3 linked regions of the Saccharomyces cerevisiae S288C genome follow. The gene in region 2 interacts genetically with the main gene of each other region. Each region holds a gene or a part of one and is shown on either strand. Other genes may lie near its edges.

What was found. A genetic interaction does not mean that the proteins touch.
Region 1: mutations in GIM4 (region 2) and UBC7 together harm fitness more than expected from each alone (negative genetic interaction), as found in Saccharomyces cerevisiae (6 studies listed by BioGRID).
Region 3: mutations in GIM4 (region 2) and KIP2 together harm fitness more than expected from each alone (negative genetic interaction), as found in Saccharomyces cerevisiae (6 studies listed by BioGRID, with this or other methods).

Annotation. Positions count from the first base shown.
Region 1 is NC_001145.3:316,784-319,677, reverse strand, and holds UBC7 (E2 ubiquitin-conjugating protein UBC7), read right to left. Parts: upstream 999-2,894; coding exon 501-998; downstream 1-500. Other genes in the region: MSS1 (Mss1p), read left to right, coding at 1-241; MAC1 (Mac1p), read left to right, coding at 1,260-2,513; FMS1 (polyamine oxidase), read right to left, coding at 2,775-2,894.
Region 2 is NC_001137.3:146,627-149,099, reverse strand, and holds GIM4 (tubulin-binding prefolding complex subunit GIM4), read right to left. Parts: upstream 925-2,473; coding exon 906-924; intron 818-905; coding exon 501-817; downstream 1-500. Other genes in the region: WBP1 (dolichyl-diphosphooligosaccharide-protein glycotransferase), read left to right, coding at 1-378; YEA4 (Yea4p), read right to left, coding at 1,121-2,149; VAB2 (Vab2p), read left to right, coding at 2,345-2,473. UniProt on the Saccharomyces cerevisiae protein: Binds specifically to cytosolic chaperonin (c-CPN) and transfers target proteins to it. Binds to nascent polypeptide chain and promotes folding in an environment in which there are many competing pathways for nonnative proteins.
Region 3 is NC_001148.4:256,716-261,185, forward strand, and holds KIP2 (Kip2p), read right to left. Parts: upstream 2,622-4,470; coding exon 501-2,621; downstream 1-500. Other genes in the region: pheromone-regulated protein PRM4, read right to left, coding at 1-52; PEP4 (proteinase A), read right to left, coding at 2,999-4,216. UniProt on the Saccharomyces cerevisiae protein: Required for assembly of the mitotic spindle.

The sequences.
Region 1 (2,894 bases), on a different chromosome or scaffold from region 2:
TCAATCAAGTGCCGATGCAAGTCCTGTCATTGTTTCCAAAAGAGTGTCAGAGATTCTCAAAAACGACGTACTGTACGGCTTGGAAGAGTTTTTCAAATCCAAAGATTTCCATAATGATATAGTATTGGCCACAGAAAATTTGAGGTATGCATCCGATGGAATAGCTAAGATAACAGGACAAGCTATTGGTATTGAGGAAATCTTAGATTCAGTGTTCAGCAAATTTTGTATAGGAAAATAACCTAGTTACAATCATCGTGTATATAAATAAAAGAAAATTGATTAACGCTTCGGTACAGAGAGGTGAGAGTAGAGGGGCCCCTGATTATACACCAACGAAATGGAAATGGTTTGAATTCCTGAAAAGCCAGGAAGACATTGAGATTTTAACATATTTATTATGTGACATTTGCTTTCTTTTAGATGGTAGATATGCTTATTTATGTATATAGAGAACAGTTAAAAGGAAGACCAAATGATCATTAACCTGCTACCTGCTTTCAGAATCCTAATGATTTCAAAATGGATAACTTTACCTGTCTCTCAAATTCAGGTCTATTATCTCTCCACAAGATGCAAGCATCAATGTTGGCACCACTTTCGATATTGGGCTCACTCAACATGCTCATAACACTTAATAGAATTTTTTCTACACTTTGCACTGGCGACCATCTTTCTTCCGCTAATTCGTACATGTTAGGATCATCACCAGGGGAGTGTAGAATGGATATGCACACTTCCCCATTTGGATAAATATTTGGATGTAGTATGCTGGGTGTGAAAGTAAGTTTAGGTGGAGATAACGGATAGTCTTTAGGAAACTCTAGCTTAGCATTAAAAACACCATCAGCGTATGGCGTATCTGGAGGCCCTTGAATTAGGCAGTCCCAAATGAATATGTTATTCTCCGATTTGGGACCAGCCACTATACCAGGTGGAGAATCTTTAATTAACTGTTGAAGCTCCTTGAGGAGACGTTTCTGAGCGGTTTTCGACATGCTATGCCCTTCCAAATTACACTATTACTAGGGAAGTTCCTTTTAGGATAATCTCCTTCGTACGCTAAACGCCAGAGTTTACTTTGGCGCTTTTCGAGCTCTTGGTTTAGAGGCTGTAATCTCGTTTTCGGGTAATGGCGAAAAGGAGTTATAAGAAGGATCTCGAGACAATAAGCTGCTGCATCTTCGTGAGGTAGATGCGATGAGGCGCCTTGTTTTAAACTTGAAACAGTCTGGTAAGTTCTTCAAGCTCTATCAGAGATGATAATATTTAATGGGAACAAATATGCGTGTGCATCGTGCATCAGAGGGCATCGCTCTTCAACATGCAGGCATTCTCACCGAATGCTAATTAAGGTGAGAACTAGAGGAAGACCTTCACCCATGGCTATCAGAGACGCTATTTTAGTAGACTCTACATCGCAAAGTACAGAATACGAAAATGGTGCACAAATTGAAGGTGACTGCTGCAGCGCAATGAATCAACAGCCAATACTGTTTGTACGTGCCTCTGCTGTTAGAAAGGCAAGAATGATAAACGGAAAATTGCATATATTAATGGAGGAAGGTTTCACTGCTCATGAGCCTAAAGATATTAGCACATTTACCGATGATGGTAACAAATATATCACCGAAACGGAGTTTCTTAGGAAACACTCTCCCAAAGCTCCGGCAACAGGAACAATATCTCCGGACTCTACCAAGTCATCTTCTTCAAGTGAGAAGAAAGAGCGAAGCCGGCTTCAACAGGAGCCTATACGACATTTTTCAAACTGCTGTAAGAAAGATAAATCACAGAACCCAGCTTCTAATGGCAAGACGAACAAGGCACCGTCTGATGACATATTTACGCCATACGGCTCCTTGGAATCTACGTCCGCTTTTAACGATATTTTACAAGAAAACTACAATAGTTCTGTTCCTGGTGCGCATGACAGTTCAGAAACACTCACCCCACAAAGTACAACAACGATTGCTGCTCCTCATTCAAGCGACGTTGCTTCGAAAGTTGAAGTCCTGACTCATAAGGGCATTTTTTTAAGCACGCAGTGCTCTTGTGAAGATGAAAGCTGCCCATGTGTTAATTGTCTAATCCATAGAAGCGAAGAGGAACTGAATTCTTATATTCAACAAAGTGGTGTTCCTTTAACCAATATTGGTGAAGCTCAAATTACTGATAAGATGATGGATTATTTGGATGATTGTAAATGCACTGACAAGGAATGCATATGTCCTCCGGATAACTGCACTTGTGATGGATGTTTTTCTCACTCTACAAATATAATTCCATTTGAAAAATTCTTTTTCTATGGAATTCTGAATGCAAGATTAACAAGGAAAACTCAAATAAAATTCAAAGGTAAATTGGTGCCGTCAAAATATTGGTGGGATTTTTTGAAGTTGCAAGTGCCATTGATGACAGATGCTCAGTTAGAATTACTTGACATTCATGCGTGGTTTCAAAAATTAGTCTCTAATTATGCACCACATCTAAGCGATGCCACCACTTCATAAAATCACGTAAATACAGATAGAAAACACATTGAGGCAACAGGAATGAAAATGCACCCTACTACTCTCTGAACCACCATATGATAATATTCCAATCTATTGTGCTTAACATTAAAATTGTTCAAACTTGGTATAAGCAACAAGTGGGAGAATTAGGTGTACCTCAAATTTTTGAAAAAGCACAGAGTGTTACTAAAAATTTTAATATGTATGTATATCCTTTTCTAGCCGTCAAAAGTGTAAGTAATTTCGAAAAAATAGATTCTATTTCAGTAAGTCAGAGATTCGAGTCGCCTCCCGTCTTCCGCTTTCCCAAGCACCATAGGCACAGCCGGCGCCGTCCATGATAGTATGTTCGCCTGCAAATCTTATGCGGGAGTCTTG
Region 2 (2,473 bases):
CCACATATCGCTGATGATATCCAATTTGAACTAAGACAAGTGGATCCGTACTACCGTCTAACATTGTCGCCAAGCGGAAACGATTCTGAAACTCAGTATTACACCACCGGTGAATTCATCCTTCCAGACCGCCATGGAGTGTTTACATTCCTCACTGACTATCGTAAGATTGGCCTGTCGTTCACTACTGACAAAGACGTTAAAGCTATCCGTCACCTTGCTAATGATGAATACCCAAGAAGTTGGGAAATCAGCAATTCTTGGGTTTATATTAGCGCCATTTGTGGCGTCATTGTTGCGTGGATATTTTTTGTTGTTTCTTTCGTTACGACTTCCTCTGTTGGCAAGAAACTTGAAACATTCAAAAAAACAAACTAATATATGTTTTCATATCCTTTATAATTCTTTATAAATGGCTCACATAAATACATAAGAGTACCTGATTGTGTTTATTTATATTTTTTGCCAAACTAAGTACTGCAATAGATTTTATATATGGTTTAGTTTTTAACGACTTGAATCTTATTGTCTTTTTTCCATTTTTCAAACTCTTTTGCAGTTTGTATTAAGGTTTCTTTCATTTTACTTATTGTACCTTCTATGTTTTCCTTCTTAGTTTCAAGAATAGGCAAACTCGTTTGAACATCACTTTCAACAAGTGCGCCACCTATCATCCTGTAACATTTTCTCGTCGGCTCAGCGTCTTTCAGTGTTTTTATGACTATAGTGTGTTCATCTTTGTCATGACCTAATTCTATGATTTTTGTTTGCAATTCTTCCAAAATTTGTTTGTATTCATTATATTTTGCTTGAAAGACTATACACAGAGAAAACACAAAGATTGTTAGTAAGATAAAATTGGCTACATGCATTTATTAAAACCCAGAGATCGAAATTTTGCATACCGTTGTTCCTTTGTTCCATAGCTGTAATATAGTTCTCCACTTCTCATGAATGAGTTTTAAAGATTAGTGAGTTTAGGTGATGAATTCTTTTTTTTTTTTTTTTCATTTACTTCCAGGCGGCAGCGTTCGCGATTTTATCTAAACTTACGTCAACACCACTAATATAGAGTTAAGGAACATACAAGTAGGATTTAAGGTTAGTTTATAATGTGTGTTCATTTACTTTTCTTTATCGCCCCCTTGTCATTTTGCCTGGGGTGAATTGATCCCAGCGAGTATATAAAGGCACCAAAAAAGACTAGGTAGACCCCGATGTAGCCAGTATATGACAAGTTATTATCGAAAAGTCGGACGCTCAGTAAAAGACTTATAAATTTTCTTACAAGTAATGTTATGGAAAGTGTCAGAGCGTTTGTTTTACTGGCGAGGATATTAACACCCTTGACGCAAAAATATTGTGTTAACACATTGAAAAGAAGGAGAGTTTCTTCTCGCGGGACTAGAATCTTCCCTCCAAAATTTGAACACAATATTCTTTCAGACTTTCTCATCACTCGATATTCGTGAATTAACTGCTTTCGACTAAATAGAAAGAGAGGTAATGATAAAAAATGACTGTAAAAGATATTCTCCTTCCAATGCTTTCCATATTTTTGATACGTACGTTCATTGTATGCTGAAAGTAAAGATGATGTGAATGATGAAAGTACTAGTATACAAATGCCAAAAATAAAAGTGAGATCTACAGATTGGTCACTTCCAATTTTCCACGCTTGCAGTTTCAAATCTTGGTACCGAAAATCAGCATCTTTGAATAATGAGGCAATTATAGCTCCAATGGTTAAAAATAGTGTTGATAAAATCTGAATCTTTGTATATTTCCTACCATTTAATAACCAGCATGTAAACATGGTTATTACGGTTCCGAAGCATCTGAAAACGATATGAATCGGAATGGATATGTTGTATTTAAATACGTTATTATTCGTCGTAGATGAAATATAAAATAAAACGACAGTAATGACATAAACGTGAAGTGGAGTTTTCAGAGGCTTGAAGTAAGGGAAAGGTTGATGAACATCCAGAAATTCGGGGAGTCCCTGACATGTAACAAATAAAAATTGACAAAAAGTAATGAGATTATTAATGCTGCCTGTTTCGTTGCTCATTAAGGTTTCAAATGTAATAACATTGGAGCAACAACCTCCGAACACTAGAGCGAATGCTTTTAGTGAGTTCCACATTTTTTAGATTCTCCCAATCCAATTACTTCCCTGCTTATTCTCAATTGAATTCTCTTCATTTTTTCTAACTGGAGTGCAAAGCACTGAATATTTTTACTTTGCGTCGGGAGCGATTGCTTCCTTAAAATATGACAATGAATATATAAAGGAAGAGTATGCGTAACCAAACCATAAGAAAGGCAGAGAGTGCCTAGCATGGTAGCAGACTTAACTAAAGGTATACTGAAATGGAAATCAAGAATAGAATTTGATGCCGTTGGAAGCAGTTCCTATTACGAAGAGTTAAAGGGCTTACCTCCCCTTGCATCCCATAAAAAATTAACA
Region 3 (4,470 bases), on a different chromosome or scaffold from region 2:
TACTTCTCTTGATTGCTGTGTGCTTTTTCAAAACTGATGAATCCGCTATCATCTTTAACTGTTATTTTCCTTTTTTTAATTGCTCTTTACTGTTCTTGGAACAAGAGATTATGAAGTCTATAAAAGAACATATATATAAGTATTTAAGAGATAAGCCTGATTCAAAGACGTTTGCAAGTTTCAGTCACTTGGCCTTAACAATCTTTATATATTAATCCCTTTAGTACCTGCACAATTAAGGCCGAGACAGACTCGAAACAACCCCAAAACTTCTTGATCTTTATTAGCTGATGCCAAATTTTTTGGTACCACACTGAAACGAACTTCGTAAATCCATTATTTGTGTATTTTCTTAACGAGAAGTGCCTAAAAACTGCCTTTTATGCGCTGTCTTCTGAGAATAGATCCCGTTCAAGGCAAGCGCCGGGCAAGCGGAGGCGCAGTCTACAGAACAATCCGCACAAGGAAAAAAGCACCCGAGATCTGGGACCCTCACCTAATCATTTATCGTTATCCACGACAGGGTGCGGTGATTGCTGTGTATTAATGAGTGGTTTCAAAGCCCTATCCCGCAGTCGTTTGGCACTCTGCAGGGCCTCAATCATTTTATCCTTCCTCTCGAGCATCTTCTGTAATTCGATCACTTCAGTGCCGTCACACCCAGTTAGCGACATTGCAGTATGACCACTTTTTTCTAGCGCCATGATCTTGTCTTCAAGTTTTTGAGTGTATTTCCTATATTGCCTTATTTGTGATTCCAAACCTTGGAACTTTGTTTCCAAAAGGGTGCCGACCTCAAAGGGAAGCATTTCTACAATTTCCATAATCTCAGAATCTTGCAAATCAACCACATCTTTATCTAGTAGTTTTTCACAATTCTCTAGTTTATATTTTAATACTCGATTCTCCGCTCTCATTAGAGCCAAATTCGGATCACCATCATTGCCGGTGGCTTTAATGTCTTTATAAGTACTTTCATTGGAAGATTTGGTTAAGGGCTCGCCAATGTTTGAACGGTTCTTCAATTCAGAGATCATCCTACGTTGTTCTTCCAATTGGCGTCTCAGTAGCTCAATGGTGCGATCTTTATCTCCATCGTTATTCCCGTTACTGATGATGGATTTTTTGGATACATGAAGTGCGACGTTTTTCGCTCTTGATGCAAACCTCAGCGTATTCATAGTTTCCGCTGCCGCATCATTTCTGGTGTCGACTGTACATATCGTTGTCACTATGCTGTCACCGCTTAGTGCCGGCTGCAATAATCTAGTCAATTTAGAATCACGATATGGAATGTGGTTGCTTGGGCTAGTGCCGTTATTGGTAGCATTTCCACTACTGCTGCTACTGCCACTTGCAGATGGCGAGGGAATGTTTGAGCCTACTGAGTTCATCTTGTCGGCACTGAGTTTGGATATCACAGTCCCCAAAGCAAGTAAGGATTTGTTGATGAATGAACCTTCCTTTCTCCTCTCTTGTTGCCCCGTAGCCCTTTCCGAACCTGCTAGGTCACACAACGACAATGTACTCGATCTTGAGGTGCCGTTCTTTACGTTAGTACTTGTTAAACGAATCAGTACAATGGCATGAGATCGTGAGCTTCTTGCATTGTAGTCAGTTTCGCCAATTTTCCTACTTTTGTCACCAACTGCAATCCACCTCAATAATTCTTCACTACTTTCACATCTTCTTTCGGTGAGACCGATAACTTTGACCCCATACTGAGAGTCATCTCTGATTTTTAATTCTACGCCCAATCCATTGCTGTTGCTCTTGCTCATATATAACCTTGAAGGAGTACTGATTCTACTACCGGATTCTTCTAATCCGCTTTCTAACAGGTCGTAAATCCTTTCATTGTAAATTTCGAGGTACGATATTATAACGTCGAACTTTTTATCGCCATTCATTGATTGTTCCATGATATTGGTAAATAAATACGACACAGATAAAGGAATTAGGCCTAGCTCTTGTTCATTTCCGCTCATTGTAAACGTTTTACCTGACCCGGTCATACCGTACGCAAATATGGTGGCATTAAACCCCATCAATAACTTATCAATCATTGGTTTACTGGTTCTTTCATAAACTTCCAAATTAGTGCAATGGGAAGCAAAAACATGATCGAACTTGAACTCTCCAATTTCTTCATGCACTATTGTTTTGTCATTAGTAATAAACCAGGGGTCTCTAACAAATGTATTGCTACCGTGATGTGAGTTGGATCTTGGTTGAGAGTACCTGGGCGATTTTAGCCCCACATGGTCACGGGAAGTTCCAACGCTCCGTGGTTTCGGCCGGATGGTCACAGTGATTGACCCAGTATATGTATCGTTTTTTCTCGAGTTGTTGTTAATACTGTCGCTCCGCCTGATCCTTATCCTACCTGGGTGAAGGAAGGGATCGGATTTGGCTGATACGGATCTTAGTGGGGAGTTACTTCTAGTGGAAGATGCAGAAATCGACTGAGAACCCGAATTAGAGGTGCTCCGTATGGAGTTTCTTGTCAGATTAGAAAACGATGAAGTTGATCGTACAGAGGGCGATTGTGGGATATTACTTGAACCAGAACTAGACCTCGTTGATGGCCTCCTTAAGCTTGGGCTCATTTTTTGAATCATCAATGGTGGTATTATGGTAAGAATTTTATCAAGTGTTCTATGTTTGCCTTGATTTCAAATGTTTCTAGAGCGCAGCCTGTGAATCTCTGCAGCCTATTTCTTTTTATTTTTCGCTTCTGCTTACATTGCTTTATTATCAATTGTTCCGCTATTGGAAAAGGATAAACAAGGAAATTCTCGAGCCGCATCATCGGGCTACCCGCATATAATGACATTATGGGCAGCAGCATAGAACAATGGATTCTAAAACTGAGGACAAGATGGTTTGTCTTGTTTTTTTTTTTTAAATATACTATAGTTTTTTTTATTGTTATCTACTTATAAAAGCTCTCTAGATGGCAGAAAAGGATAGGGCGGAGAAGTAAGAAAAGTTTAGCTCAAATTGCTTTGGCCAAACCAACCGCATTGTTGCCCAAATCGTAAATAGAATAGTATTTACGCAAGAAGGCATCACCAACGATGGCCAGTGGGCCAACAGGTTCTGGGAAATCCATTGGTGTAATTGCAGAGATACAGGAGCCTGAAACTTCAAGCGTGTAATCGTATGGCCCAATAGTGAAGTTGTAGCCATTGAAGTTGAAAATTAGATCAGGTAGATTGTCTCTGGTGTTACAGTCTAGAGTATATTGACCGGTCCAACCCTTCTTGGCCCCAATTTCAGCATTAATCATTTCAGCTAATCCTGATGGCAAGGTAATCAAAGAAGTACCAGTATCGATGGCGGCACCATGGCTCTCCAATTCGGCGTACTCGTCGCCTAAACCGATACCTTCAAACTTGACTTCCCAGTAAGCCTTACGACGAACAGGTAACCAAGTGATATCGCCCTTGAACTTAGACTCGTCAATACCACCAAAGGTGGCTTCACCGCCATTTTCAGTATCCTTTGAAGTGTCTCCCAAATAAAAGGCAAATCTCTTTTCGTCCAACAAATCTTGTTGAATGGCGTTGTAAAATGGAGGGACCACCTTATCAACAGAAATGGTATCGTAACCCAAACCCAAAATACCATCGAACTTGCCAAATGCAAATGTTAAGCCCGGCTCGCTGGTAGCCTCAGCGAAGTCTTGTTTTGGAATGGTCAAATCCCCGATGGACAAAGTGTCTTGAGAAATGTAACCTTCCAAAGAACCAGTACCATATTGAATGGCAAATTCAGTACCATTAGCTTTGTAGCTTGATGAAGCTTCATGATCGTATTTAGAATGTAGGAAACAAGCCAAGGAACCACATTCGTTACTTGGAACCCAAAGGTTTGAAGAACCAGTATCCAAAATAACCTTGAAGTTTTGAGGTGGAGTACCCAAAGTAATGTCAGTGTAATATTGTGCGTTCAAGTAATTTGTCAATGGAACATCGTGACCACCTTCAGTGAAGAAAGGATGCTCCCTAGAAAAAACAACTTCGGGGTTAGCTTTCTCAAATTGAGTCAAGTACTTTTGGCCTAAATGAGCTAAATGTTGCTCGAAAGTGACTTCTTTCATCTCATCGGACAACTCGTGTTTATAAATTTTAGCCTTGTGGACTTTTGCAGCAACTTGGTTGGCGCTGACCAACAACAAGGCCAATGGCAATAATGCTTTCAAGCTGAACATGTTAGTTTTGGTTTTTGTTTGAATTTTATTTGGATTAAATACTAGGTCACTAGGCTTTTTTTTTTTCTTTTCTTATAGAATTCTAATAGAAAAAACTTTTTATGAATACAGTAGGGTGAGATATACTTTTTGTTATTCTTCCCTTACGTGGTAGGCTTCTCAAATAAAAATAGAAAAGACCACTAAAATTTGATTATAAAGGCTTCGCTCAAAAAAGAAGAAGGTGGAATGAATAAATAGCAGCGAATTACCCA